Arabidopsis thaliana: one gene and its partners. The protein of the gene in region 1 interacts with the protein of each later gene in a pairwise test. Each region holds a gene or a part of one and is shown on either strand. Other genes may lie near its edges.

Evidence for each region.
Region 2: the proteins of AT2G43850 (region 1) and CNGC17 interact in a protein complementation assay, tested with the Arabidopsis thaliana proteins (one large-scale study listed by BioGRID).
Region 3: the proteins of AT2G43850 (region 1) and PTR4 interact in a protein complementation assay, tested with the Arabidopsis thaliana proteins (one large-scale study listed by BioGRID).
Region 4: the proteins of AT2G43850 (region 1) and PTR2 interact in a protein complementation assay, tested with the Arabidopsis thaliana proteins (one large-scale study listed by BioGRID).

Annotation. Positions count from the first base shown.
Region 1 is NC_003071.7:18,157,005-18,165,216, forward strand, and holds AT2G43850 (Integrin-linked protein kinase family), read right to left. Parts: upstream 5,179-8,212; 5' UTR 4,981-5,178; coding exon 4,543-4,980; intron 4,457-4,542; coding exon 4,382-4,456; intron 4,296-4,381; coding exon 4,191-4,295; coding exon of another isoform or gene 4,187-4,190; intron 4,089-4,186; coding exon 4,003-4,088; intron 3,862-4,002; coding exon 3,741-3,861; intron 3,664-3,740; coding exon 3,584-3,663; intron 3,497-3,583; coding exon 3,434-3,496; intron 3,324-3,433; coding exon 3,202-3,323; intron 3,114-3,201; coding exon 3,028-3,113; intron 2,954-3,027; coding exon 2,829-2,953; intron 2,732-2,828; coding exon 2,600-2,731; coding exon of another isoform or gene 2,596-2,599; intron 2,520-2,595; coding exon 2,513-2,519; 3' UTR 2,178-2,512; downstream 1-2,177. Other genes in the region: UGT74F1 (UDP-glycosyltransferase 74 F1), read left to right, coding at 677-1,300, 1,437-2,162; AT2G43860 (Pectin lyase-like superfamily protein), read right to left, coding at 5,941-6,180, 6,271-6,496, 6,594-6,883, 6,963-7,424.
Region 2 is NC_003075.7:14,852,959-14,861,492, reverse strand, and holds CNGC17 (cyclic nucleotide-gated channel 17), read left to right. Parts: upstream 1-3,473; 5' UTR 3,474-3,713; coding exon 3,714-3,742; intron 3,743-3,953; coding exon 3,954-4,710; intron 4,711-4,794; coding exon 4,795-5,093; intron 5,094-5,197; coding exon 5,198-5,309; intron 5,310-5,392; coding exon 5,393-5,629; intron 5,630-5,704; coding exon 5,705-6,433; 3' UTR 6,434-6,799; downstream 6,800-8,534. Other genes in the region: AT4G30380 (Barwin-related endoglucanase), read right to left, coding at 404-410, 503-776, 908-1,007; AT4G30370 (RING/U-box superfamily protein), read left to right, coding at 2,220-2,750. UniProt on the Arabidopsis thaliana protein: Probable cyclic nucleotide-gated ion channel. Forms a functional cation-translocating unit with AHAs that is activated by PSKR1/BAK1 and possibly other BAK1/RLK complexes. Required for PSK-induced protoplast expansion.
Region 3 is NC_003071.7:475,686-482,776, reverse strand, and holds PTR4 (Major facilitator superfamily protein), read right to left. Parts: upstream 3,801-7,091; 5' UTR 3,661-3,800; coding exon 3,604-3,660; intron 3,530-3,603; coding exon 3,427-3,529; intron 3,326-3,426; coding exon 3,108-3,325; intron 3,029-3,107; coding exon 2,542-3,028; intron 2,448-2,541; coding exon of another isoform or gene 2,419-2,447; coding exon 1,646-2,418; 3' UTR 1,592-1,645; downstream 1-1,591. Other genes in the region: AT2G02030 (F-box family protein), read right to left, coding at 372-442; AT2G02026 (uncharacterized protein), read right to left, coding at 691-870; AT2G02023 (uncharacterized protein), read left to right, coding at 999-1,310; GAD4 (glutamate decarboxylase 4), read left to right, coding at 6,126-6,367, 6,554-6,959, 7,060-7,091.
Region 4 is NC_003071.7:484,094-491,786, reverse strand, and holds PTR2 (peptide transporter 2), read right to left. Parts: upstream 4,390-7,693; 5' UTR 4,246-4,389; coding exon 4,189-4,245; intron 3,934-4,188; coding exon 3,616-3,933; intron 3,538-3,615; coding exon 2,981-3,537; intron 2,906-2,980; coding exon 2,080-2,905; 3' UTR 1,846-2,079; downstream 1-1,845. Other genes in the region: AT2G02050 (NADH-ubiquinone oxidoreductase B18 subunit), read right to left, coding at 1,452-1,763. UniProt on the Arabidopsis thaliana protein: Peptide transporter. Mediates the transport of di- and tripeptides. High affinity, low capacity transporter. Can also transport histidine.

The DNA of each region.
Region 1 (8,212 bases):
TATTTGGTTTACCAAATGCATACATTATTTTTTTGGCTTTGTTAGGTTTAACATATACATCACTTGACATTTGATTTTTGATTTTTTTTTGGCTTTGTTAGGTTTAGATTTTTTTTAATATACTAAGGTTTAGAATTTTTTTATAACACCCATATTTGCTATTATAATAAACATTTTGCCGAGATCTTATTCTAACTATAGAGCGGTAGAAAATTTCACTTATTGACTTCCTAATTGGATATTTCTATTTCCTTAAATTTTAAATCTCTTACATATATATTCACAATTGATTTCCTGCAAAATTTTAATTATACTAGTTGCAACTAAATTAAAAATGTTGTCGAGATCTTTTATTCTAACTACAGAACCGTAGAGAATCTTCTGACTTTGTTATTACGTCCCATTTTCATTTCCATGTGTCTATGTACTCTCCATCTTCCCAAAGATAACACAATAAAGTAAAAAGAAATAAAACTTAAAATCCAAGCTTTTCACTTGTCACCCTTATTTAGTTTTTTTTTGGACCATTTTCTTTTCTTGCTCTGATGAAAAGCTGTTGTCTTCTGGAAGAACCTCACAAGTCTATTAATATATGTATATTCCCAATATCCCTTTATTCGTTCTGCGGAAAGCAAAAGATTGAGAGCGACAGAGAGAGATAACGAGAGAGAGAGAGATGGAGAAGATGAGAGGACATGTATTAGCAGTGCCATTTCCAAGCCAAGGACACATCACCCCGATTCGCCAATTCTGCAAACGACTTCACTCCAAAGGTTTCAAAACCACTCACACTCTCACCACTTTTATCTTCAACACAATCCACCTCGACCCATCTAGTCCTATCTCCATAGCCACAATCTCCGATGGCTATGACCAGGGAGGGTTCTCATCAGCCGGTTCTGTCCCGGAGTACCTACAAAACTTCAAAACCTTCGGCTCCAAAACCGTCGCTGATATCATCCGCAAACACCAGAGTACTGATAACCCTATTACTTGTATCGTCTATGATTCTTTCATGCCTTGGGCGCTTGACCTTGCAATGGATTTTGGTCTAGCTGCGGCTCCTTTCTTCACGCAGTCTTGCGCCGTTAACTATATCAATTATCTTTCTTACATAAACAATGGTAGCTTGACACTTCCCATCAAGGATTTGCCTCTTCTTGAGCTCCAAGATTTGCCTACTTTCGTCACTCCTACTGGTTCACACCTTGCTTACTTTGAGATGGTGCTTCAACAGTTCACCAACTTCGACAAAGCTGATTTCGTACTCGTTAATTCCTTCCATGACCTCGACCTTCATGTTAGTTCATTTCCTAACTACTCTGTTTTTGCCCTAGTTACTCTGTTCTTTTTGACCTAGCTACCCTGTTTTTCCCTTAGCTACTCTGTTTTATCACCTAATGACTATTTTTCTGTTCTCTGATTTCCGTCTACAGGAAGAGGAGTTGTTGTCGAAAGTATGTCCTGTGTTGACAATTGGTCCAACTGTTCCATCAATGTACTTAGACCAACAGATCAAATCAGACAACGACTATGATCTGAACCTCTTTGACTTAAAAGAAGCTGCCTTATGCACTGACTGGCTAGACAAGAGGCCAGAAGGATCGGTAGTATATATAGCTTTTGGGAGCATGGCTAAACTGAGTAGTGAGCAGATGGAAGAGATTGCTTCGGCGATAAGCAACTTCAGCTACCTCTGGGTTGTCAGAGCTTCAGAGGAGTCAAAGCTCCCACCAGGGTTTCTTGAAACAGTGGATAAAGACAAGAGCTTGGTCTTGAAGTGGAGTCCTCAGCTTCAAGTTCTGTCAAACAAAGCCATCGGTTGTTTCATGACTCACTGTGGCTGGAACTCAACCATGGAGGGTTTGAGTTTAGGGGTTCCCATGGTGGCTATGCCTCAATGGACTGATCAACCAATGAATGCAAAGTATATACAAGATGTATGGAAGGTTGGGGTTCGTGTGAAAGCAGAGAAAGAAAGTGGCATTTGCAAAAGAGAGGAGATTGAGTTTAGCATCAAGGAAGTGATGGAAGGAGAGAAGAGCAAAGAGATGAAAGAGAATGCGGGAAAATGGAGAGACTTGGCTGTGAAGTCACTCAGTGAAGGAGGTTCTACAGATATCAACATTAACGAATTTGTATCAAAAATTCAAATCAAATAAGTTAAGCACATGATAAAGTAGCAAAGATTTTATATCTCTTGATGGATATTTCAATAAAACCTTTCAAAATGATTCTTCATCTGTTGTTTGTTCATCCTCTAATTGCAACGAGCCGGAGTTCTTGTGTTTGTTATACAGTAACGCGTTTATAAACTATACAAACTTATGCATACAGCCCCATAAAGATGTGGAATGACAAAAAGAAGAAATTATCTTCTGTTTTTTGTTCTACACAAAAAATATACATAGCAAGTGAGTTTGTCCATGTTCATATGACTGAGAAACACTGAATCGGATTTTGTCCACAAATCTCACGCTCTTCTTGTTTCTCCCTCCTTCTTCTTCCCCTTTTATTTCCTGTGAAAGAAAACATTAAAACACACACAATCTTTCCTCTCTGCTTTAACTATAGATTATATGAGAAGATGAAATCTTACCAAGGGAACTTGAATGTGTCTTTCCACCATCCTTGTTTAGAGCAATTTGCTACTATTTTGTCAAGTCGAATAATAATTTCAGAGAATGTCGGTCTAATACCCGCTTCTGGATGCCAACATTTCTCGATCAACCTGCAGAGTAAGCGATATAACAGGTTAAGAATCCGACACTCCAAGTTCTTGCATAGGCAATAGATAATTCTTGGTTCCAAATAGTTTTAGAGCTTACTCTTTTATATCTGGAGGGTAACTTCTTGACTTAGTTTTGAATACAGGTCTCTTTCCTTCTAAGCACATCATTCTCGCAACTTCTTCAGGAGGTCTCGGATGGAAAACTGGTACTCCCTCTGTTATCTGACCAGAAACGCACACTAACAAGATTAGAGAAACACAAGAATAAAAAAACAGAGCAAGACGAGGAAATGTACCTCGTATAAAATGACACCAAAGGAGTGTGCATCAACCCTTAGGTCGAATATTTCGTCTTTATAAACCTCTGGTGCAATGTAGTAATCTGCAATCAAGAATGCATTTTTTTCAATGATCATAGATCTTACCAAGAGATTCAGTTTTCATGCATGTGAATGAAGCATTCTCCTTACTAGAGAGATCTATATGTGCTTTGTGGTTTGCTACTTTCGCCTTGTCTTGTGAAATTTTCGACAATCTTATCATACCAAATCCTGAGATCTTTAATTGCCCTCCTCTATCCAGCAAAATATTTCTGACACCTTACGAAAAATTTCGAAAAATTAAACGAAAAGAAACATCTCAATGAGTATGTACCAAAAGCTTTTAACGTATCTAATCGACATATGCCTTTAATTCTCTTACTTTGGCTTTAGATCACAGTGAATGATTGGATCTGGTTTACATTCATGGAGGTAGTTCATGCCTCTGACACGAGAAAAACCACGAAAACCATCCGGTGAGGTACTCACAGTTACAGTAACCTTAGCAGCAATACATGAGAATCTAACATACCTGGCAATATCAAGAGCAAATCTAAGTGCCTTGGATGGAGAAAGACGTCCTTTCTTTTGGAGATATACACTTAAATCTCCCTGCAACAGAGACGACATTGAGATGATTAGTGAATAAAGGTAAACTCAGAAGGGAGAAGACAAGTAAAGATGCTCACTTTCGGATTATACTCGACTACAATCATCATCGGTATATTCTGAGTGACAGCTCCAACAAACTGGATAACATTTGGATGCCGGACTTTTTCTAGCAACGTCAATTCATGTCTAAATGCGTTTCTGTTCAGATTAAAAGCCAGAAAGACAAAGCAGAATCAGTTTCTTCATGCCAAACCAAATCACACAGCTTAGCAAACAAAATTTAGGGGTGGATCACTCAAATGTAACACATAATAAAGGACACAAGTAGTAGATGCATACATGCGTTCCGGGTCTGAGTAACTATCTTTATCAAGTATTTTGACTGAAACCCGCGTGCCATTCCATTTAGCTACTTGATATGCTCCCTGAAAACAATCAAACAACATCCATTGATTTGAATAAATCAAACCTGCTCCAAGAACAATGATGTTCACAAATGTGTCTATCTAAGAGAGCAAAGAACATGCCTTTGAGATGCCATCAGATTTCCTGACTTGAACCTCAAGTGGATTAAGCTCATACTCAGGAACTTCTCGTGGATTCGACACAGTCATCGGAGTCTTCCTAGTTTTCTATAAGTGTGAAGATAAAAGCCTTTCACAAAACAAACACATGAACAAAACACCAATCGAATCCAAAATCAATGAAAATTTCTTACCGGAACTTTAGCTCCTCGAGCCTTCAAGAGATTGTAAACATCTAAATTCCCATAGTACTTTGCATCAGCAGCCGCCTAATTCACCAGACAACATAAAAATGTCAACTTTATCCCTAAATGTCAACTTCTCGAATCTAGAGGGTTAAGAGAAGAAGACAGACCGTACTTCCCCATCGATCACGAGCATCAATGTTAGCTCTCCGGCTAAGAAGAGCCTTAACGACACCAAGATGTCCCTCACAAGCGGCGATGTGAAGCGCCGTCCGGCCATCAAGATCGATGCTATTAACATCAATTCCTTCGTCAAGAAGCTCCTCGATTCCTCTGACATCACCTTTGCTAGCCATAAAGAGAAGCTGCATCGTCGAATCGAGATTCTCCGGTACCGACATATGTGGCTCGTCATCACTCTTGGAAGAATCAGGACTCCTCCTGATCGGATCGAGAGAAGACTGACGACCGAAACTAAACCTCATGTTGGTCCTACGAGGGTCAAGAGATGACTGACGCGTGAACTGTCGGCTCAATGTTCGACGAATCGAACCAGTTGAGAATTGTCTTGAGATACCTCGTTTGAGCTGCGCGGTTATGTTCTCCATTGATGCAAAAAAAAGTTTTGAAAAAGTTTCTTCCTTTACGCAAATTCTCAAAAAACCTCACAACAAGAGATCAATGGATTAAGAATAAAACCCACATTGCCGTCTTTGGAGGGTTGGTCAATGGAGGTTGAGTCAGAAGAAGAAGACGACAAGTCACACAGCAAACAAACGATCGTATATAGTCCGTTTAAATTTTCTATCTTTTTGTAATTAATTGAGACTATTATCCATAAACGAAATTAACCAAAAAGTTCGTTACACAAAATATCTATTTTGGAGGTAAAGCCTTGATTGGATTATAATCCCATGTAGATTATATATAGATGAAACTAATTAAAAGATAAAACTTTAATATAATGGAATACAACCTGGAGAAAGTGGGTTTTTGACTTTTTTTTTAGTGAAGTGGAGAGGATGATGGTAAATTTTAAATATTAAAAACTAAAAAATATGGTGCTACTCCACTAATTTTTTATGTAATAATAGTATCAAATCTCATATGCTCCATAGGTTAATTATAGTATAGTATAAGAATAGTTAATGCCTTAATGGGTCGGCTATTAATCAACCATTAATGTATACTAATCATTTTCCAGTTAGTTTATGTTTTACTTTAATTCACACCCATATATTTCCATCACCTTCTATTTCATCCAATTATGTTACTTTTTCACAAGTTGTTTGGTCCATATCTCTCAAAATATCTATAGACACAATTACTACAGAAATCATCTATATGTAGTATGCGAACCAAAATTTAATCATTACTTCATAGTTTGGATTACAAAGATTCTCAAAGAAATTATCAAAAACAAAACAAGAAAAAAGAAAAAAAAAAGATTCTCAACGATCAAACAACAAGTAGCAAATAGGACAACGTCGTTCGCAGATATATCTACATGAACTCATCTTTTAGTCATGGAGCAATCGGGACGACGTCGTTCAGCGATCCATTTATAGTTAAGTTATAATGATCTCCCTCTTTAGACAAGGAGTGAATGGGACAACGTCGTTCGCTGATCCATTTGCATTATCGCAAGACGCCTGAGCCGGTCGATGAACAGAGACAAGATTCACATCGTCCATTACAATACCGGTACATGGTTTCTCCTTACTACAATCTAACAAAACCGCCACTTCCGTATTCGAAGTCCCGTGTATATCTTCATATCTCACATTTGATACTTTAACTCCTGATTCCTATAATAATAGAAATTAATATACAGATTAAATGAGTCAATATATCGAGTTATGGGTGTAAAGATATGGTTAATTAATAAATATTCTTACCTGTTTAGGGCAAGGTTTATGAAGACAGTAGTGTTGGTCTATAATGATTGGGTTCTTGACCATCTTCATGTTAATATGTTGGAAAACAATGTTTCTAGCGAAACTGTTGCTATCTTTCCCCCATGTTTTGATCCTAACTCCGTTATTCGTTCCCATGAAATCCACGTTACTCACGGTCACATTATCTACTCCTTGTTCTTCCTCTGCTCGTCCAAGACTTCCAATACTGTTGGAGAGTTCACACAAACAAAAAAAACAAGAGAACATTTTAGAAAGTGAAATATCAAGAAAGATGGGGAGCAAGAAATGTATGTGTGTGTTACCTGATGCCGTGGCCTGGACCGCATCGAATGGTTTGTATGAATACATTAGTGGATCCTGGACCGATGGAGATGCAATCATCACCGGTTCCGATTCTTGAGTTAGTGATATGGACGGAGTGAGATGATTCGACGTGAATCCCATCGGTATTAGGGCTATTCTCATCAGCAGAAACCTTAACGCCGTCAATGTTCACGTTATTGCTATTATCGATGACTATATGGAATTTCTGGCTGTTGATCGACGTTAAACCACTGATTTTGATGTTATTTGACCCACTAAACACCAAACTCTACAAATAAGATTAACAAAAAAAAAAATTAAAAACCTCATGAGAGTTAAATTTGTTGTTTCTTGTGGGTCAAGCATACCTTGGCACCGGTAGGACAATTATGGCCACCGTTGTTCTTGCATTTCCACAAACTAGTGCCTTGAGCGTCAAGTATTCCACCGTAGATTGAAACATCAGTAACATCCTCGAACCAGATCCAATGTTTTGAGCTTGCGATAATTCTAAAATCTTCCGGAGCAACGATTGAGCCTGCTATACGAATAGATATTGGCGCTTGCTTACACTCGTTGCCATGAAAAACAAGGTTCCCGACCAAGAACCGTCCTTTTGGTACGATTATAGTTGTAGGATTAGCGGATGCACAAGCAACGTCCCATGCGGCTAAGAAGGCTTTGGTTGAGTCTTTTGAGCCGTCTGGTTTAGCTCCGTAGGATAAGACGTTGAGTGTGCTTGGAATCGGATGGGCTAATGATGAGATTAAGGTAAAATCAAGAATGATGAGAGCCAAAGGAAGAATAAGGCATGAAGTGTTATAAACCATTTTTTGGATTTTTTTCAGAGAAGGTTAGTGTTTTAAGGATGAAGGATATTGTAGAAGAAGGTACATGAGATGGGAATTTATAGGATTTACGATAGTAACGTAATGATTAGTTTATATGGAACTTTCTTGATTTTATTAATATCTACCATTGTGTCAACTTGTGTACCTAGATAACCGGGTAATTTGTTATGTAATAAAATTTGGTTGGTTTAATGAAATAATAGTAATTATTCGCAAGATAAGTTTCCTTAGATGACTGCATTAGTGTACGGTAATGTACGAAATTAGATTAGTCGTTTTCGACAGAGATAGTTATATGGATTGATTTAATTGGAAAATTTTGATTATGGATCGATTTGGTGGCTCTCGTTTTTGGATTAATTAATTATGGAATGAAGAAAACAAGAAGAAGAAGATTTATTACCTCTTAGGATTGTGGTGTCCTTTTATGTATTTTTTTTGGTATCACTATGATTTAATATTCACTAACTTAACTACTTTAGTGATTTATATAAAAAATCATAGCGCATGCATGTTCAAGTTCTTTAACTTTGCCGATCGCTAGAACAGTATCCGTACTTTCGATTTTCTAACATTCACCTATACTCGTTTGGTAAGTTAACAAAGAATCATTAGTCATTCAAATTGCATATCAAGATAATAATAACTTATTGGTTTTTTTAAGTAAGTGTAATAAGAAATTATTCGAATGATTCGTCAACTTTTTCGGATAGATTCCAAAATAATGGTTGATAACGAGAATTGATTTACTTATAGCAAAAACAATC
Region 2 (8,534 bases), on another chromosome or scaffold:
AACCATTATTTGGTATATGTGAGTGTACATAAATTGTCACCGGAATTAAACCATCAAATAACTTGTCACAAGCACTTTTTCTGCATATCCGAATTCGATGATGTGAAGAAAATGGTTGTACCAATTTTCAATTGCACATATGTCTGTCATTTTCAGATTATGTTACATGTAAAAACCAAGTATGGTTATTATATTTTGTTTTCAAAATGAGAATCAAAATAATAGAAATCAGTAAGTATTTCTTATCATGGTAGTTTACTTTGATTGGTTATCTTATTCTGTGTAAGCTCTCGACGATTTTATTCATATTTTGAAATACTATACAAAAGTCATGATGTGTGTACATTTTCCATTAGGACTTTCTAGACTTGAGCATTATTTTCCTTGATAGCTTCATCGACGTTTAGGCCCTGAAATCCAAATAAACAAACTCATAATTAAAATCCTGCTTTTCTAAAGTAACAAAGAATATTAAGTGATAAAGATTGGGAGAAATAATTACGGAAAATAATCAATGTTAATAATCCCAGCGACAGGATTAGCGATCTGAGCAAAAGCTTCTCGAGAAAGATCGAGCGTAGAAGCACAGCCACTGGGACAATGGTCAACGATCTTGACCTTCACGGATTTCCCCGTGCAAGGGTGAGGCACGGCGTTACGAGGTCCGCTGCATTTCACGGTGAACATTTTGCCACAAACTCGACCATTGTCCCATAATGTATCACTCGCTGCAGCGATCATCACTCCTTCTTGAGTACCTCTGTAACATGCTGATGCTATCAAACATGAAATAAAAGAAAATGATTTTATAACATTTCGCTGTAGGTTGATATGAAAATGTATAAGATAAGTTTGTTGTTTGTATTTGTTTTATAATTTTGGTAGTAAAACACACAAAAATTCTTACGAGTGTAACTTGTGTAAAAAGTTGCAATCCCGGGAGTTGCATATGAGAAAGAGAAGAGAAAAACAAGAACGGTAGAAAAAAACACAATACTTTTACTCATGATTCGTATTTATTTGTAAGAGTGTTTATCTTTGAAATGTGACATATCTATTTATATATCTGCTATATATTATATGACTAACTCTAAATATGCATGTATTGTAATTGTTTGCCATTGAAATATCTTTGACTGTTCCCATTTTTTAACATGTGTATAGTTGTAAATTTGTTATATTTAATTTCTTCTTATCTGTGTTGACTAAAGGTTTAGAAAGATTGTTATCCTCATTTGATAGCAAATTTACAGCCAAAGACTCCAGAAAACGTTTACTAACTACGCTGATCAAATTTGCCACGTAAATTTATATGAACAATCTCATAAAAACAATTCATCAAAAGGAAAAAAACTCTCCTTTTATAGGTCCTAAATGTAGTGAAATCAATATTTATGGACTAGTACATATGGAACAGTTATGAGGCGAGCGTTAATGGGCCGAACGAGACGATAAGAGACATTATTCTAAACCAAGCTCAACCACGAAGATAACCGGATCATAACCGCAAAATGAACCGGAATAAAACGTGAGAAACAACGAGATAATATTAAAAATGATGCAAAGAATTTCTGAATGTAAAGGTAGGTATGGTGACATAAGGAATGGAGTTACCGAGGAAGCTGCCCTTGTCGGATTGTCCTTATCACTTCCCACTCGGCATTACCAGATAGGAAGCTCAGAGGACAGAGATAATAATTGGAACCCAAAACTGAACCCTATTTTATATAATCTCATCACCAATACTTTATCCTTAAATGAAGTCTGGTTTCGCCCTTTGTTTTCTCCTCTAGTTTTCTTGTAACGCCAAACTACATTCTGTATGATCAAAATTTAGTAACATAATTTATCAGAACCCCATTGTTTTAAAACGTGTCTGTGTATTTGTGTTTATATACGCTTAATCTTCTTCTTTCTAGTTAAATTTAATCAATTTAATGAAAAATTTGGTATATAAAAAAAAAGACTTTGCTCACGAGTTCCTCTCATAAGGGCCAAAACTAGTTAAAAAGTTATCGTCAAAAACTGATATAAAAAAGATGTCCGAATATTCCCGCATATAAATATCTATCAGACAAACTCTTTTGTACAATATACTTTGAATCCGATAAATTTTCGATCTTCAAAATCCATAAAAATCTCTCCTTTATTTAGCCCTAAAACAGAGTATTAGAGTTTGATTCGTAAAAGAGAATATTTTTAATCTCCGCCGCAAGTCGATGTCGATAACGATTCCCTACGATGGCTCAATCTCCCGCGAGCCATCACCGTCTCCACCGCCGCCAAAAGCGAACACGAAGAATCTACCGACGAAGATTCTCTCTAACTTCCTCATAGGTCTAATCATGATCCCTGTAGCTATAACCGCTTTTATCTTTATCCTCACGTCTCTCGGTTTCACCTTCTTCTTCGCTTTCTACTGGTTTCTTCAACGAAACTATCGCCACCGTCTCCGCCGCCATCGCCGTCACGAATACTCAGATGGGTTATCTCCAAGATGCGTGAAGAGGCTTCCTCAATTCAAGTATTGTGAGCCTAGTTCAGAGTACGGAGGCGATGATTGTGTTGTTTGTATCGATGGATTTAGACAAGGACAGTGGTGTCGGAAGCTGCCTCGATGTGGACATGTGTTTCACCGAAAGTGTGTGGACTTGTGGTTGATTAAAGTCTCGACTTGTCCGATTTGTAGGGATAGGGTTTATAGATTTGAAGAAGGAAGAAGATGGAGACCACAAGGTGAAATTTTTTGATCGGTGGTTTTATAATTAGATTTGAAAGTGTGTTTAGTTTGTTATCATATTTAGCAGCAATTTTGGTTTTCATCAATAGTCATGTACAGTGTCTTTTTTTTTTTTTTACACGGCTTCACAATTGAAAGCTTGTTTCTTCACCGTTTGATGAATTTGATCCAATAAGAGAATGATGGGTTTCTGTAGAATTTAACTTAGTTTGAGGTTTGATTATCATGCCAATTATTAAATTCAATCTAGTCAATTACTGATAGAAATGTTGTCCATTTGTCACTTTAAACATGTTGCTTATGTTACCTTAATGATTTCTCATAATTTCACTTGAGATTCAGTGGTTAATCATCAATGTTTCTGTTTCAATTTGTCCATGATGAAGTATAAGTTCTAAGTAAAGCTTGGTTCATGTGATTTTAATTTACCTACTTCACCTCCAAAGTTATGTCAACTATGTTTTCAAGTGTGTGATTCAAAAGTTTATATTGAACATAAAAATAAAGGAGGCTAAAGAATCGTTTTCTGATTGGAATGTGAGATTGTGACTCACACGGAGAAAGTGATTGTGATTGGATCTGACTATAAGACTAAAGAAGTGTTTTTGTGAAGTAACAAGTAACATTGTCTAATTAGTGTTTTGTATTGTAAACTAATAATGACTTTGATTAACGAAATAATGTCACTTTAGTCAAATGTGTTGACTTTCTTGTCTTATACCGATGGCTCAAGTATTCCCAAGAAAAAAAAACAAATATCCCTCCGATTTCTGACTCGTCCCGTGACTCAGTGATTCTCCTCTTCCAATCCTCTCCGGAAGAACTAAACAAAAACACGATCTTTCTCAGATTTAGAGAGAGTAAGAGTGAGAGAGTGTCAGAGACACGAATCAAAGAAATGATTTTTAAAAGCTTCTGTTAATTCTAATTTGCATAGATTTGTTTACTCGAGCTTGAGCTTGAGCTTCTTCTAATGGAGTTAAGGAAGGACAAGCTTCTTATGTAAGTTTTCTTTCTCTCATCCGTCGGTTAGACTTACGTTCCTGAAAGTCTTCAACTTTGATTGCCCAGAAATTAAAAATTCTAGACTTTGCTTTAGATTTATCTCTTCTTTAGATGTTACAAGCTCAAGCTCCGATTTTGGGTACTGGGTTTAACTTAAATCTCTAGTTAGGTTTCAGATTACAGATTTGAGTTGTGTATTGCTTTGTAGGTTTTACTCAGAGGGGAAAGAAAGCAAAGAAGCTAAATGGGCAGTGAATGATCCAATGAGCAAATCTTATAAGCTCTCTTTACCTTCAGCACTAAGACCTGATAATCTCTTACCTGGAAATAGACTTAGATACACTGATGCTTCTAAGTCCAAATCTTCTAAAGTCTCATGGTACAAGACTATTCTTGATCCAGGAAGTGAGATTGTCTTGAAATGGAATTGGGTCTTCATTGTCTCATGTATGGTTGCTCTCTTCATCGACCCGTTGTACTTCTTTGTCCCAGCTATAGGAGGAGATAAAAACTATCCTTGTGCAAGGACTGATACAAGTTTAAGCATCCTTGTTACTTTCTTCAGGACAATAGCGGATCTTTTCTACTTGCTGCACATTTTCATTAAGTTTAGGACTGGTTTCATTGCGCCTAATTCAAGTACTAGAGTGTTTGGTAGAGGTGAGCTTGTGATGGATCCTAAGGCTATTGCTTGGAGGTATATTAAATCTGACTTCATCATCGATCTCATTGCGACGTTACCACTTCCACAGATAGTTATCTGGTTTGTTATATCGACTACAAAAAGTTACCGGTTTGATCATAACAACAATGCTATTGCTTTGATTGTGCTCCTCCAATACATCCCAAGATTCTATTTGATAATTCCGTTAAGTTCTCAAATTGTTAAAGCAACTGGAGTTGTTACAAAGACTGCTTGGGCTGGAGCTGCTTATAATCTTTTGCTATACATGCTGGCTAGTCATGTATGAATCCCATTCCTTCTTCTTCCATTATTTCATTCCTTAAATGTGATGATAATCAAAGCTACAATGTTTTTGTTGGGACAGGTGCTTGGTGCAGCCTGGTATATATTATCGGTTGATAGATATACATCGTGCTGGAAATCAAGATGCAATGGTGAAGCTGGCCAAGTTAATTGTCAGCTATATTACTTAGACTGTGATTCAATGTATGACAATAATCAGATGACTTGGGCAAATGTCACAAAAGTGTTTAAACTCTGTGATGCACGGAATGGCGAGTTCAAGTATGGGATCTTTGGGAATGCAATCACGAAAAACGTTGTGTCTTCACAGTTCTTCGAGAGATATTTCTACTGTTTGTGGTGGGGATTGCAGCAGCTTAGGTAATGGCAGAGATCATAGAAATTTTTTGATACCAATTATTACTCTCCTTTTGATTACAAGTTTTAGAATCTGATGACATTTTCCTGTTATTGTCATATTCTAGTTCTTATGGACAGAATTTGTCCACGACCATGTTCATGGGCGAAACCACATTTGCTGTTCTCATTGCAATCTTTGGTCTTGTCCTCTTTGCCCATCTCATTGGGAATATGCAGGTATGGATTCCTGCGTTAGGATAAGTTCTAAAAGTATCTGCTTTTGTTCTTATGTTTCTTGGGTTTTGCCTTTTGTTTGTTAGACATATCTGCAATCTTTGACTGTACGGCTTGAGGAATGGAGATTGAAGAAGAGAGACACTGAGGAGTGGATGAGACATCGTCAACTTCCTGAAGAGTTGAGAAACCGTGTGAGGCGATATGAGCAGTATAAGTGGCTTGCAACAAGAGGAGTCGATGAAGAGGTTCTCCTGCAAAGTTTACCCACTGATCTTCGCCGTGATATTCAACGTCACCTATGTTTAGATCTTGTTCGAAGAGTAAGTTTTTCTATTGATTTGTTTATCCTACAAATGGTTCAACTTTTAGGTTAACTACTATCTTGAATCATGCAGGTCCCATTTTTCTCTCAAATGGATGATCAGCTGCTTGATGCGATATGTGAGCGCCTGGTTTCTTCTCTGTGTACTGAAGGGACTTACCTTGTACGTGAAGGTGACTTGATCTCAGAGATGCTCTTCATCATCAGAGGTAGACTCGAGAGTTCCACAACCAATGGAGGCAGAACCGGTTTCTTCAACTCGATTATACTTAGACCTGGAGATTTCTGTGGGGAAGAGCTTCTTTCTTGGGCTTTGCTTCCAAAATCAACCTTGAATTTACCATCTTCTACAAGAACAGTTAGGGCTTTAGTTGAAGTCGAAGCATTCGCTCTTCGAGCTGAAGATTTGAAATTTGTTGCAAATCAGTTTAGGCGGTTACACAGCAAGAAGCTTCAACATACATTCAGATTCTACTCTCACCATTGGAGAACTTGGGCTGCTTGCTTCATACAAGCGGCTTGGCGCAGGTACAAGAGAAGAGTTATGGAGAATAACCTCACTGCGATTGAATCAATGGAAAATGAAGAAGGAGAAGTAGGAGAAGAATTAGTAGTAGTAGAAGAAGAAGAGTGTGTTGAGGAGAGTCCTAGAACAAAGATGAACCTTGGAGTTATGGTTTTGGCATCGCGTTTTGCAGCTAATACAAGACGCGGTGTTGCAGCTCAGAGAGTTAAGGATGTAGAATTACCCCGGTTTAAGAAACCCGAGGAGCCTGATTTCTCTGCTGAGCATGATGATTGACTGATGTATAACCAGGAGAAGAAGCTGACTTTGTTCCATAGAAGATCTTAATGACAAGAACACTACAGAGTAAGTTTCCTGTTCCTTTGGGAGACATAAAGAAAGAAACTCAAGGCGGGTTTTGGTTTGTACACTTAAACATCTTTTGTAATATAAGCTTGGAGAATTAGTTTTGTTGTACTATTAAAGAACTCGTTTCTAAATTCTCTAAATGTAAAGATGAGGAAGTTGAAGTGGATTATGTACAAATCACATCAAACCTTGCAAAATTGATTGAACCAACAAGGAAGTAAAAAGATGTCTAAGCCCATTCGTCAAAGCCCCTATATGCCGTGGTTACTGACTTACTGTAACGTTGAGAATAAGATGGTAAAGAAAGAAAAAATATATTTTCTTGAGCATGTTGCATATTGCTATCGACACAAGCTTCTTTTTAAAGAAAGGTAGACTCACTTAATCAATAGACATAAGATCATACTAATGATGAGTTTGGACTTTGGTCCATGGGAAAAAGTTAAAATGTTTACTTGCTTTCTCTACTGACCTAGATATGTCGGATCAAATCATAATCTACATTACAGGATTACATACATATTTGGGATTTTTCTTTTTGCAATATGGCCACAAGACCAGCTCAATGTAATCATGGATTCTTAGTCGATTTAAAAAGTTGTAAATATTTTAAACTAACATATTGAAAAGTTTCTGAAAATTTCTTGTCCCATATAATATACAAATAAATTTTATGGTCTTGAATGACAATAACAATATAGTATGGCACAAGAAGTTAGATTGAACGGAAACTGAATCATGAAAACAATGGTTTTCAACAATCATAATTATAGTAACATATATTAATATTTTGAATCGTTTATTAATATGTGAAATTTTTAAACATGCATGCATATATTAAGAGATGACATAGTAGTTGTACCTTATAGTGTGTAGTTGCTCACTAGAGAAGTTAAGTTCATGTCCCCTTTCCAAAAAGCTCAAATTCAACATTAGGTTTCAATCATGTAAGGTTGAGATCCGCGACCCCTTTTAGTTATAACATAATTTAATACATACTTATATTCGTAAATCATTATCTTCACATCCTTTTCATGCCTATAATTACAATAATTAAAAGAGAAAAGGCTAGAATATATATTAAACAGGAAATAGGTCTTTGAGTAAAGTTGCAGCATTTGCTACATTATTTTATTTTCCACTTGAAGACTATTCAATTACACTCTCACATTGATGATATTATGAGTTTCTTTTTGTCACTTCAAGATCAAGTATTGGCATGGTGTATGATGAATCTTTCTGTGAGATAAATTGAATCTAATTTAATATTTAAGAATTTTCAACTACTATAGTGTCCAATAGCTTAATCTTTCTCACTTTTGACAGGATATATTTAAGTAAGAAAAAATATTTAACTAAGTGAGGAGGCATAATGCAAATCCACCAAAAAGATAGAAAGAGAGAGACCATAAGGTCCATTTATATAACTAAATAATTGAATGATATAAAGGCATGTTTTGGTTTGTCTTCTCCTTGTTCTAGTGCTTCTCTTTGGCAAAAATCCTTTATTTCAAAATAATATTAAACTATATCCCCTTAATAATTTGTTGTCAATAATTAGGTTATCAGTTGCTTTATTTCAAACAAATCCGTATTTTTTAATACTTGAAAAGAATTGGAGATGCTTTTAGTTATGTATAAACAAAGTACCACAAAACTTCAGCCTTATCTTCCACTCATAGAATATTACTAATAGTATGTAATATCTAAAAAGGCGAAGGAAGTAAAAGGCAGTTTTGGAGGCTTTGTCTTCAAGTGTCTAGCAGAGAACCGGAGTTATACGACCTGTAAAAGCCAAAAATAAAACACGACTATTGCATCAACTTGTTTCAGTAATTCAAAATATATATCAAAAAAAAAATTGTATACTTAATAAGTCGTCTAGAAGACTTTCAAACAAATAAAGACATGTACTTAAAATCTCGAAATTATTTACTGTGTCGAAAATTGTCTTTCATCAATTAGATTTAGATGTACTATGCAGCCACTACAATATTGAAAATTTCATTAAAAACATATATATATATAT
Region 3 (7,091 bases), about 18 Mb from region 1:
GTCATAAAGAGTGGCTGGAATCAACGTGAATTATGATGTATATATCTATATAGTTTAATGTTTCTTTGTTATTTTTTTATTTGAGAATTGTTTTCCGTTATTATCCATGGCTCAAAGCCTCAAACTTTTAAGATTAAAATAACTACAAAATTGTTAGAACAAATCTCTAATTGGAATAATGTAATTCATTTACATAGTAAATAATACTAAGATTTGCCTAGATTAACTCAAATCTTAGATTGACGTAAATAACTTCTGAATCCAAGAACTATAATAATTCAAAATTTAACTAAATTCCCCTAAAATAAAATAAAAACAAATTTGTGAGTGATTATTTTGGCGATTATCGTCTTTCTCTCTCTTCTCCTTACGTTGGTGTCGGTTCATGTTTTTCGCCGGATATCTCATCTTGTTGGCCGCGAGAACTGGTTTTGCCACTCATTACACCATTGGTTGGGTTGTCCAAAATCTGTCGTGACGAAACTGACCAAACAGTCTCCCGGCTCAATTCATTATGGGACCTATGGCAAAACCCAAAATAAAATAAAATTTCTTAGTAAATTTTTTTTTTTGAAATATTGGGGCCTTTTAGTCTTAACAATTTTTTTGAAATTAGTTAGTAACCCTAGGCATTTGCCTACCTTGCCACCCCCAGAGACGGGCCTGTCTCGAACAAATCACGATCCGTCGTCAAGCAAGATTAACATAACTTGTTGTGACCATCATCACCATGAAGAAGCAGATCTTGTCGCAAACATCATGGGCACCATCACCAACGTATGTTGCATCAAACATACGACCAGTGCGTTGTTCTCTTCTCTCTTGGTGCGGTTTAATCATTTCATAGTAACTGCCATGTCTCTCTTTCATAAAATTTTCTTATGGTTTCCATTACAATGGAGCCGATTTCTTTGCCTCCTTCTCTTCATGGGAACGGTAAATTTCTATTTCGATGCCGGTGTGGAGAAGTTGTTCGACGGATCCGCTAAGCATCTTTTATGTCTGTGATGGGAACATCCCATTGCGATGTCAATTTGGCAATACATTGCCAATCTTCGATTGACTCTGGTGCGCTTCCTAGTGAACCGTTGCAAGAGGTTTTAGCCGAAGATCAAATGAGGCTCGTAGCGACTCTTCCTCACAACTGGTGCTTCGGTCGACGAATATGGGTTCCGGGAATATTATGTCTTCGAAGATTTGACAAATTGGCGCAAGAGAAAATGAAAACTAATGGATTGAATCCGTTAGTGAGTCTTGTAAAAGGAAAATCCATAGTCATTAACCGGTGCAGAGCGTTTCAAAAAGCATGATTCAGAACCATTTCGAGCAACTTACCAAATTCTTCGTTTTATTAAAGTAATGCAGAAAGCATTTAGGAGTTTCATCTATAAGATGTTAGCTTTTTGCGAGTGTATGATGAGAGGACTTAACAGATTTATTTTGTTGCCTGTAAGGCTTCCGTTTCGAAAGCAGGGTCACTTACACTTCTTCATCAAAATTGTGTTCAATTTCCTTTATTTGTTTCAATAGTTATATTTGAATGGTTGTTGTATGTATCATGTAAACCGTTATGATTTAATATAACTGATTTGCTGGTTTAAAAAAAAACAATTTTGAAAGTACACACAAGAGCCAGAAGAAGAGATCAAACCTTCATATGAGTATATTTCACAGAGAAGAAGACAAAAACAGGTATGTTAACAGATCCAAGACTGACCAAAAGCCAGAAGAAGTAATCAAGATGTCCATTGTTAATGTTGTCTGAAGGAATCCAACAATCTTTTCCGCTCAAATACGCCACAAGGGTAATGATCAACGAGCTCAAGTAGTTTCCTAGTGTAGTAGTGAGAAGAGCCCAAGCACTACACAAGCTTCTCATTGAATCTGGAGATTGCTCATAGAAAAACTCAATCCTCCCAACAAAGAAGAAAACTCCAGCAGTGCCCATTAAAAAGTACTGAGGGATTTGCCAAAAGATGTTTAATGGAACAATGTCTCCACTTTCCACTAGATCAAGATCTCTAGCTAACTGTAACCGAACCGTCTCAACGATAGCTGCAAATGTCAAGCTCAAAACAGAGACAAAAAGACCAATCCCCATTCTTTGTAGCTCGGTGAATCCTTTAGCTAAGCCTGTGAACCGTCTCACTAAGGGAACGATGACGCGGTCATAGATTGGGACAGATATGAGAACACTTGCAGTGTCGAACATCCCGAGAGTTGCGGGAGGGATTTCGAATAAGCCGATGGTTCGTTTCATGCACCGTCCTTGTTGAACAAAGAGAGTGTAAATCTGTGAATGGAGAACTGAGAAGATGATTCCTGAGGCCCAAATGGGGACCAAACGTAACAGAATCTTAACTTCTTCGACTTGAGTCACGGTACATAGCTTCCACGGGTTAGTGTTTGCATCTCCTTCTGATATAATTGCCGCTTTGTCAAGAAACCTGTACATTGATATCACAACCCGTTTATTTAACCGTTAATAGACTAATGCTCAATTCAAACAAGAAATGAGAGGGAAAAAGATTTTCTTGTAACCGTCCGTGGAGTCTTCAGGGACCTTGAGATTCGATTTACGGTATGCGGCTACAAGAACTTGGCAGACGCTAGTAATCGGGCTACCTCTCGGTTTCTGAAATCTATAAAGCGGCGTGCCAAAGAAGAAACTCATAGTAGCAAGTCCCATGAACACGGTAGGTATCAAGAATCCTAATTCCCATCCATAATTCTCTTGAATCCAAACTAGAACAGTAGATGAAACAAAAGCACCAATGTTGATAGTGAAGTAAAACCAGTTAAAGAAAGAAGCTTTTCTGACTCGTTCGCTTGGATCGGTCTTATCAAACTGATCAGCACCAAAGGATGAGACACATGGTTTGATTCCTCCAGTGCCAAGAGCGATAAGGTAAAGCCCTGAAAATAAAACCGTAGACTGAACCATTGTTGCTGGTGGACATAGAGAGCCAATGCATTCCGCTGGCTTAAGACCCGGAACTGAAGCTGAGAGTGTCAATGCAACCATTCCCTTAAAACAACATCAAAGAACAGAACATCAAGCCAAGAACAGAACATAAAGCAAAGTTATTTTTCAAGAAAATGCTTACGGTGAAATAAATGGCAGAGAAACAAGCAATAGTCCAATATCTTCCCCAGTAAGCATCAGCTATTAAAGCTCCAATAAGAGGAGTGATGTAACATGTTCCTTGCCATGTCATGACGTGTCTAGCAGCAGAAACATTAGTCTCATGCAATTCATTTGTGAAGTACGTGATGAGATTCTTGGCAATTCCATAATAAGCCAACCGTTCGCAGCATTCGTTTGCTGCACCAACCAAAGCATAGATATCAGTTTTTGGAGATTAAAGACAGAACATGAGAGAATACAACAAGTACATTACAAGTGAAATAAAACAAAGTGTTTACCAAAAATGAATGGACAAGCTTTCCAGTTTCCTGTTGTCTGCTTCAATGGTGGGTTTCCATGAATATCTATTGAACCATCTTCAGCATATAATTTTACTTCTTCCTGGAGAAAAACGAATTAGTCAACAAAGATTTAGACCCCAAAACACTAAAGAAACAATGACAATGAGGTTGAACCTGTATAAGAGATTCTTCAACTTCAAGAAGTGACCTTTCTTCATCAATGGAAGCCATTTTTTACTTTCTCCTCAACATGACAATTTTCACGTAAAGCTGATTTAAGCTTCTCAACGAAGGATCAAATAAAATGATCCTCCCACTGACCAAGTTGTTGTTGGTGGTGTGAGTGGTCACTCACCACAGAACCACATTCTTTAAAAAATGTTATAAAAAAAAAGAGGGAATATAAAACCACACAAACTTTATTAATCTGATTAGACTTAAGCATTAAGCAAATTTTGAGCCATAGCACACTTTTCCCCTAACACAACAAAAGTTATCAAACAAGTTAGAGACTTCAAGTTTTAAAGAAGACATCAAACAAATCTTACGAAACCTTTCTAGCCAAACCGGTAAATTAACAAAGCCAAGACAGACCAAAAGCCAAAAATAGTAATCAAGATGACCGTTACTAAGGTTCATTGTCGTGAAATATGCAACAAGTGTAAGAATCAATGAGCCGAGTGAAGAGTCCAAGCACTACACAAATTTTGCATCTAGAGATTGTTCATAGAAAAAATCAAGCCGACTAAGAAAGAACAAAACGCTAGATGTTCCCAATAAAGATATATTGAGGGATATGCCAAAAAATGCTCATTGGAACAGTGTTACCACTATCAACCAGATCGTTGGATTACTCTTGTCTCTCTCGAAGTCGAGAAGTTGGTGGCGGTGACCACTGGACCATAAAATGTGTTCTTGTTAACAACACGTTTTAAGAAATTGCAAAATTGAGTGGACCTATTGGGCTTTAAATATTAGTGGGTTTCCTAATTTGTACTTGTTGGGCCAATTTTATGACCTCCACAACTTGGATATAAAATATTTGGTAAGGAATTAAGTAAATAAATACTATTTTATTTTTTGAAGCACCAAATGCAATTTATGGTGTTAATAAAGTTTTATGATAATAATTAATTAATGCAAAATAAAAATAGTTTTGGGGTAAATTGATTTTTTTTTTTTGGGAGACCAACAGTCTTCAACCTCAAAAACGAGAAGCTCTAGTAAATCATGATCGTTTTGTAATTTATTGGTTTACCAATTGATTTTAGTGATATAGTTTTCGAACCGCTTAAATGATTAATAAATAAATAAATTAAATTATGGATTGGTGATTTTGTCTCTAAATAAAAATGTTGAATATGAAAGGAATAGTTTTGAATTGTCCTTAATAATTTAACGTTGAACTATTGAATAGTCAATAATTCGGTCGCTAATAGTTGACTAGTACAAACAAAACCGAACAGAGCATGTATTAATTGGCCATTTCAAAATTCGTGTTGCAATAATTAAGGAAAGTCAGAACTTTAGAGAAGTAAACCGGTGGCGGTTACCCATAATTGCCGGTTCGGCGAGTGGCGTCTCGGTCTCCATTTGCCGGTTCCCATTGACTAACGCGTTAGAGAGTGACTGATGGGTCGACTTTTGACTTTTACTATTTTTCTTCTTTTGTTTCTTACTGCCAGTTATGCCCCATTCCCTGCCTCTTAATTACGTATGAGTGCCACTCACAAATATTTTTATTTCTGAAAATCATTTGGGGGAGACAAAAAAAAACAAGATATAACAAACCTGTTGTTTTACTTTTGTTACTGACAAGTCCTTCAGTCAAAAAATAAAAACAAGATAGATAAAGAAAATGAAAACTGTATTTAATAATATCCTGAATAGTCAAAATAGAATTGTCTATAAAATCTGATTTTTTAAAAAATATAAACATATATGATGAAGTATTCTTGTTTCATGTATCCATTCGAAAATATAAGTAAATCCTATGTACAATTGAAAAAAAAAAAAAAAAGGTAATCTAGAAACAATGCTGATCAAGCTGTAGTATTCAACGTAATTAACCCAAGCTAGGGCTAGTGGATTCTAGTTTTCAACAAAATTAACCCAAGCTAGGGCTATTCTAAAGCTAGTCTAAACATGTGGGAGGTTTGATAAATCGCCTAACTTTATTTGTTTAATTAGGTCAGACCATGGGTTTGATGTTTATTTGAATTTTTATACTTTAGAGATGGTAATATGAGATCTTACAACAAAAAGTCAATGTCCTTTAGTGGTGATACCAATATAAGTTCGAATTTGGTTTCTAGCTTATTGGTATAAATTCCATTGACAGCAAAAAGGAATCACGAAAACAATATAATCTAGTACTATATTCACATTTTACGCGTAACGCGTTTGTAATATTCACATAATTATGTAAGTGTGAAATTGATCAAATCGCGGGAGATGCTAAATAAACAAAATCAAAATCACTAATAAAATGTTCACGATAACTTAGAAAGATCCAATAAAAAGATGACGGTCGGAATTTGTATACGATAGTAATAAAAGTATTCGTGTTTCTAAAAGTTAGTAATTCATTGGTCTAAATATTATAATGAGGAAAAGTCATTGGTAAGGAAAAGGTTTGAAAAAGGAGCACATAAATAAGGACCAGCGATGCTTCCTTTCACGATGCAAAACACGAAATGAAGAGACACATTCTCTCTACTATATATACCATTTGCTCCTCTTCCTCTAATTCCACACATTCTTCTTCAACTACAAAACAAAAACACTACTACACATTCTTTCCTCTTGTTCATTTCAAACCCAAAAATCAAAGTTCGAAGTTGAAAGAAGACATGGTTTTGTCTAAGACAGTTTCCGAATCTGATGTCTCAATCCATTCAACTTTTGCTTCTCGTTACGTCCGCAACTCTCTTCCACGGTAACAACTTGTAACACAAATCTTTTGTCTAATGTTTTCGTCAACAATAGTAACATGTAATGATGTAAACCTTGGATAGTTTTTTTTTTGGCCGTGGTTAATGTTGTAGATTTATTATGTGTTATATACTATAAGGAAGGACATGTTTCGTTATTTTAACTTAATGTATCATCATTTCATCATTAGATTCGAAATGCCTGAGAACTCAATCCCAAAAGAAGCAGCTTACCAAATCATCAACGACGAGCTAATGCTCGATGGTAACCCAAGGCTGAACCTAGCTTCCTTCGTGACCACATGGATGGAGCCAGAATGTGACAAGCTCATGATGGAGTCCATCAACAAGAACTACGTCGACATGGACGAGTACCCTGTCACCACTGAGCTTCAGAACCGATGTGTTAACATGATAGCACGTCTCTTCAACGCGCCGCTTGGTGACGGTGAAGCTGCCGTTGGTGTTGGCACCGTCGGATCGTCGGAGGCGATTATGTTGGCCGGTTTGGCTTTTAAGAGACAATGGCAGAATAAGCGTAAGGCCCAAGGGCTTCCTTATGATAAGCCCAATATCGTAACCGGTGCTAATGTCCAGGTAAACCAAAACAAAAATTGATGAAATATTAACCAAGACAAAATTGAATTTATCAATCCGGTTAAGTTATATGTGTGACTCAATTTCCGGTTCAATACAGGTTTGCTGGGAGAAATTCGCAAGGTATTTCGA
Region 4 (7,693 bases), about 18 Mb from region 1:
CCCACCATCTTCACAGTTCCAGAGAATCCCTGTCCAAATATTTTCAGAGTGTGAATTAGGACTCAGAAGAATGAATAAACAATCAAATCAGGAGAAAACAAAATCATTGTCATGTTGAAGAATCTTAGACCAAGTATTTAGGGGTCTATCTTTATAACAGAGAAAACACCCATTGGTGTCAAATCATAATGGCATATACAATGAACAAGTAGTGAAACACATAAGAACGATATGAAAAAGGAAAGAATCACACAAGCATGCAAGAGTACTCAATGGCAAGTGAGAACAAGAAGATGAGAGACATTAAGAGATTTGTTCTGTAGCTGTTGTGACATAAAATACCAAAACAACAAAGCAGAAAACGTTTAGACACAGGTATGTAGTTGGTGCTGTAATTATACAATTCTTCTCACGGATTTATAAGTAACACAAAGTGACTGTACCAATTCTTAGCCATGAATATCTGAGACACAATTTACAAGTTCACAAAAGATATATATCAATCATAAGAATTTCAAAGCCTAGAAGTGTGAGATCATAAATCAAACATAAAAGATATAGTCTAACGAATAGACTTGGGTCTAGTTAATCAGTGAAACTCTCTTGTATCCTTTTTAAGGGTCTGTAACACAAAGCGACTGTAACAATTGCTAGTCATGATATCAGATTACAAGATCTTAAAACAGAGAACGGGCAAAAGAAGTTGTAAACACAAAAGATATAGTCTAACGACTTGAATTGTGTCCTGTTAAGCAGTGAAACACTCTTATATCCTCTACGGGTCTGTAACACAAAGTCACTGTAACAATTGCTAGTCATGATATCTGAGACACTATTTACAAGTTCATCGAACATATAACTTGCAAACATAAAAGATATAGTCTAACGAATTGAATTGTGTCCTGTTAATCAGTAAAACACACTTAAATCCTTATATAGTCTAAAGGTTCCAGCAAATTAGTGCTACTGATTACTTAAAGACTTATCTATTAAGCTTTGAAAAGGAAACATCATGAAAAAACAAAATCTGTAGAAAATCCAGTCAATGATGGAATTTTCCTTATCCAAACTTCAGATATCATTGAGATACTTTACAACAAGAAGTACAAAGTCCAGACATTTCTCTAACATGATTGATACAGAACAATTGTGATTGCAGTCTAAGAGAAATTGAATCCAATTGTAGTCAAATGTTCACAACAGAGGCAACAAAATTGCTAAGACGAGAGAATTCACAATTCAAAACCAAGATAATGCATTAGACATCTAATTGAACAAGCAATCTCATTTATTCCCAATGAAACCCTAATTTGGAATTTGAAGAACACGAAGATCTGATCATGTAGCAGAAGAAACAAACCAATTCAATCAAATCAACCAAAACACAAGAAATCGAAAAACTATAGACTAACCGGAATCTGGAATCGGCAAATTGGAGAAGGAATCGAATCCTAAGCATTAGCAGTTTTAGGGATAAGAGGAACAGCAGCGTTTCCTTGTAGTTTATTCTGTTTAGCCAAAGCTTCTTCTTCACGGATCTTCTTCATCGCAAGCATTCTCTCCATAACAAGCTCGTATTCACACTTCTCATAAACGTGACGCTCGTCTTCACATTTCCATGGAAGGTAAAACTCAGCCTGACGACATTTGTTGAGCGGAATCAAGAGATGAGCGCACATATCTCTAGATCCAAGTGCTATTTTAGCTGCAGACATCTCTTCTTGCGTTGCGATCATCTTCTTCGATGAACCTGGAACCTCCATTTTCGCGATCCCCAAACCTCACAACGATACTCTCTTCTTCTTCTTCGATTTTATTGACCCGGAACATTCTTCTTCTCCGGGTCATATTTGTGCCCGTTTGATATGGGCCAAAAGCCCATTTGATTTACTAAGCCTATGGACAATTTCTCTCAATTTAGTATTCGAACCCTGAATTGTTTATAATATTGCAAATGCGACTTAAACTTTTGAAATTGAAAGGAAAAGTACACAGCAATGTTGTTATTGATACAGAGACAGTTACAGTTGAAAGAAACAAACTTTTGTATGTAATGAAAGTAGATAGATAACAGCATTACTACGACGAAGCTTTCTTTTGCTTATACCTAGCAGCAGAGAAGAAGTAAACCGCCATGTTCACAAGGCTAAGACCAGCCAAGAGCCAGAAGAAGTAATCGAGATGACCTGAATTGAGATTATCCGAAATCCAACCTTCTTGCCCATTTCTTGTTGTAAAATAAGTCACGAGCGTGAGGATCAACGAGCTCAAGTAGTTACCAAGTGCATTGGTCAAAAGAGCCAAGGCACTGCACAAGCTTCTCATTGCATCTGGAGATTGGTCGTAGAAGAACTCGAGCTGACCGATGAAGTAGAATACTTCGGCTGCACCGAGAATGAAGTACTGTGGAATCTGCCACAAGACGGATATGGGAACTGGGGCTCCTGACTCGACTAATCCAAGATCGTTGGCCATATGGAGACGGATGATTTCGACGATAGCTGCAGCTGCCATACAGAGAACAGAGACAAACAGACCAATTCCCATTCTTTGTATCTCAGTGAATCCTTTGTCTACTCCTGTGAACTTTCTTGCTAAGGGAACGATGAACCGGTCGTAGAGCGGCACCCAGATGATGACGCTTGCTGTGTCGAATGTCCCGAGTGCTGCAGGAGGAAGCTGGAATGATCCAATTTTGCAGTTCATGGCTCGGCCTTGTTGAACAAACATTGTGGACATTTGTGCGTATACAGCTGAGAAAATGATACCAGAAGCCCAGATTGGGAACATTCGGATCAGAATCTTGAGTTCTTCGACTTGCGTAACCGTGCATAGTCTCCACGAGTTGGAATAATCTCCGGATTTCGATTCTTCTTCTGAGATAACAGCGGCTTTGTCAAGATACCTGCATCATACCAGAATAACTTGTTAAACCAAGTAAAGCTATACATTACTGGAAAGCAATGAAGCGGATATTTACTGGCAATCATCGGTATGCTCGATTTTTCTACTTCCAGCAATAGCAGAGTTCTTGTCTTGAGTTTCATACAGAAGTGTGGCGTCTTCAGGGACTTTGACAGACGATTTCCGGAACGAAGCAACCACGACTTGGGAAATCCGAGTTATAGGGCTTCCTCCAGGTTTCTGAAACCTATAAAGAGGTGTGCCAAAGAAGAAACTTGCAATGGCTAGTCCCATGAACACTGTTGGTATCCCAAACCCTAAACCCCACCCGCGATTCTCTTGAATCCAAACTAGAAGACTAGATGACACAAGTGCTCCAATATTGATGGAGAAGTAAAACCAGTTAAAGAACGAAGCTTTTCTAACTCGTTCCCGAGAGTCCGTGTCATCAAACTGATCGGCACCGAAGGATGAGACACACGGTTTGATACCTCCAGTTCCAAGAGCGATCAGGTAAAGCCCACCAAAGAACATCGCATACTGAGCTGGCGTTGCAGATGGACAAAAGTCACCAATACATTCCGCTGGCTTCAATGCCGGAACTGAAGCTGAAAGAGTTAACGCAGACATCCCCTAAACAAATACAAAAACCTATCAGTAATCAGGAGCAAACAAACCAAACCAAACATTACACAGAGAAGCAATGCTTACGATGAAATAAATCCCGGAGAAACAAGCGATGGTCCAGTAACGTCCCCAGTAAGCATCAGCCAGAACAGCTCCAATGAGAGGAGTGAGATAACAAGTCCCTTGCCATGTGGTAACGTTTGTAGCAGCAGAAACATTTCCTTGGTGAAGCTTAGTGGTGAGGTAAGTGATTAAATTCCCAGCAATACCATAGTAAGCTAGCCTCTCACAACATTCATTACCAAGAATAAAAGGACAAGCTTTCCAGTTTCCTGTTTTCTCCTTCAATGGTGGGTTTCCATTAAAGTCCACTGAACCATCTTCAGCATACAATTTCACTTCCTACTTAAAACAAATTCACAAAACATTTTTGATTAGCTAACTAAACTATAACTGTATCAAAGCTCGAAACTTTGATCTATATCTACTTGCAAAATTCAAACATTGGAATCATCAATTAGATAAAACAGTGATTGCCCAGAAAAGATCTCAATAAACCCAGAAAGAAAATGCATAAGATCAATCTAAAGTCAAGATTTTGGAATTGAGTAAAATCAAAATTCGCTAACCTAAGTGATTAATTGAAATTGAACAAACCTGTAAAATTAAACCTTCTTCGATGAGAGGTCTTGCTTCTTCTTCGATGGAACCCATCGTTTTCGTTTTTTGAGCTGAACCAATTTAGATTCCTTACGTTGAAGCTACCTATCTAACGATACTCTATTATTTATCGGAGACGTGACGGCTTTTTATTTTACTTTTCCCGGCGACTTATTGGAAAATAAAAATCAAAACTTTGATTATAATAAGAGAAGTAATTAACAAAACTCATCTTTTTACGAATTTTTTGTTATTATTATGACGTAAAGATAGAATTGTGGATCAACCTGTTACCTGTCCATGTCTCAAGTTGTTGATATCACTCTAATCAAGAATTTTTTTTTTACATATATGTGTTTCTAAAACAATACATCATCAATACGTTGTTGATATCAGTAAATCGTTTGGGGACTCAGATAACAAACAGTAATTATCAGCCAATCTCTCTATAAACCCTGAAAGAACAAGAATGCTCAATAATATGTAGCTCAAGTCAGCAAAATTAGGAGAAATGGAAATTAAAACTCGATAACCTAGATCATTAATTGTACGTTGAAACTATATAAACTCTCCTATTATTTTTTGGTAAATGTGACAAATTTTTTATATTCCTTTTCCCGGCGAAATTTGTTTTTATTGGACTATAGACATCGGCTTTGTTTACATATTTTTCTAAGGTCTGTGCTTAAACTTCAAATGGGAATTATATATATATATATATATTTTCTTTGTGATTCACATAGAAATTAATTTGTGTTTTTATCACAAAATCATTTCATAACTATATGTGGCCAACTTTGATTGATTCCACAACTTGATTCATAGGGTGCATAGAGAATGTGGTACGACCATCTATAGATTCATCATCCATCATCTCTTGTAAGAACAAAATCATTTGTTTCTATATCAAATAAGGTGTTATAAAAACTAAAAAAAAAAAGATTCTCCACAACTTGAGTCCATAGAGAGTGTGGTACTACGACCATCTATAGATTCATCATCCATCATCCCTTGTAAAAACAAACTCTTTTGTTTTTATATAAGATAAGGTGTTATAAAAACTAAAAAAAAAAAATATTCTCCACAACCCAAGAGAAAATTCGGTAAAACAAACAGCTTTGAGAAAATGAAAAAGAACACAAATGTATGGTGCAAAGAAGAAACTAGTCTCAAGAGAGAAAATATTGATTTTATCTAATACTCTACAAAAACCCAAAACTCTTGAAAACATAACATAATTTTCTCAAATGTATTGTGCAAATAAGAAACTAGTAGAAAATAAATGATAAGATTGATTAGCTATTGACTAAAGAAAACCTTTAATTCTATACACAAATTTTTTCGAGAAAATAATTTACCTTTCGTTTAACGAAAGATTAGAATTTTTTTTTACATTTAGCGATACTTCGCTGGGATAGAAGAAGTGATGCTAGTATCTTATCCCATCTCTTAAGTCCGTAATTTTTTATCCCCTCGAGTAGAAGAACAAGTAGAAGATTATCTTCCTGCGATTTCATTCGTCGTATATTAAAAAGGGTATATAATTTTCTCGAAAAGTATTTGAGAAATATAAAAATAAGGTGTAGATGAATTGAAAGAGAGATGATAGATGGTTTAGGGCAAACAAGTGAAGTAGAGTCTAGATTATATAGGTTTGTGTAAGTATTTGTTTTTTACGTGAGAAATTATTTTAATGTGGGCTTTAATATTATTAGTAAGTAATGTGTGGCTTTATTCTTTTGCTCATTTGGATGATTAAATTAGGCAAAATTTTCAAACTCATTTGACTAAACATAATTGGACAATTTGAATGGAGATGGATTAGTCAAAATAACAAATGACAAATATGCTCTAATTCTTCAAACGATCATTTTGTTTATAAAATTTTATATAGAAAAACTAGATAATCACAGAAAAAAAAACAAAACAATCTGCCTATACGATTACAAAGTGTTAAGAATTTATATGCAATGAGTCGGAATCCTAAACTAAGAAACATTTTTTATAATGATCGGTACAAGTATGTAACCGATCAGTTCTGGACATCTTATGTACTGACTCTTACGATTGTCAAGGTCGGTCGTGATCTTCAATCTTTTTTCATTTGATGCATTTTGCTGATTTGCTCTATTTTCCTAAACTCCCAGTTTTATCCAAACAAATCCAAAAACTTTACTTGACAAGAAAATTCAATAATATATACTACAAAGACATAAAAGTGTTAAAAATATATAATAATTTAACAAATTTGTTTTAGTTTTAGTTTTGTGAGTTTGTTAGTTTGTTAAACGGAGTTGTTAACAAATTAGTTGTTTTCTTGAATTAATCAATCTACTTGTACAATTGGTTTTATTAGTTAACTGAGTTAGTTTCTCTCTACTCTTTCGTTTACGTTCTCTCTTTACTTTAGCTTCAATATCCAAACAGTGATATTGATACCTTTGGAAACTATAAAACCATAAATGTCGAATAACTCACACATATTTACATATAGTGAAAAATATTACAAAATATTACAATCACAAGAAGAATAATTAATTATGTAGATACCACACACATATATATATATATATATATATATATATTTATATATAATTAATTCTTTTTTTTGTGCAAAATTTACAATAATTAATTAATATATGATTTCATGTCTCTTTCTTCTTACTCACACGTGATTTCACTTCATATCTCTTAACCAAAATATACAATAATTTTTTTTGTTTGATTAAAAAAAAAACCATAAATGTCGTATGTGGTATAGGTAGTTTCACTTGATGGACTCATAATCAGTTGAAATAGTTAGTCTTAGATCAAATATAATTCAGGTTTAAACACACACAAAAAAATCAAATATAATATTTCTATACTCTATCTATGATTATCTATGATGAAAAAAGAAGAAAGATTATTCATGGCTCAAATTTTAAGTCAAAAAGCCTCAAAACTAAGAACAAATCTCTAATTGGAATTGTGTAATTTATTATGTTGTAAATATATCCTAAAGCCAAAACAGAGGGCCATAAATTTCAGTTTGCAACACAAAGGCCCAAACATTTTGAAAGTACACACAAGAGCCTCCATGGCATTAACCCAATGCCAGATAAGAGAGATCAAGCCTTTTTGTGAGTGTATCTCACAAGAGCCTCCATGGCATTAACACCTAATTTGGTGTGTTATGGTTGGAGTTGCTCTTGGTACTAGCATTCGCCTTTACACTGAGTGGTGTGACGACAATATTGTCAAAATTTTATGCTCCGTTAACTCTACATACTGTTTGATTTGGTATGACAAAGTTTTTACTTTAAAAGGAGTTAATAGTAGTGAGTGTTTCTTTGGTTTCTTTCTTTCAGAATCCTACCGAGCATTGTGTTAACGGAGTTAGTATATATATTAAGTCATACAATTTGATTTTCATTCAAGTTATTGGATAAAGACCATATAATATAATGGCCAGTTTTTAATTTTTGTCTAGAAAAGAGCTACAAACTTTGCTAAAATTTCA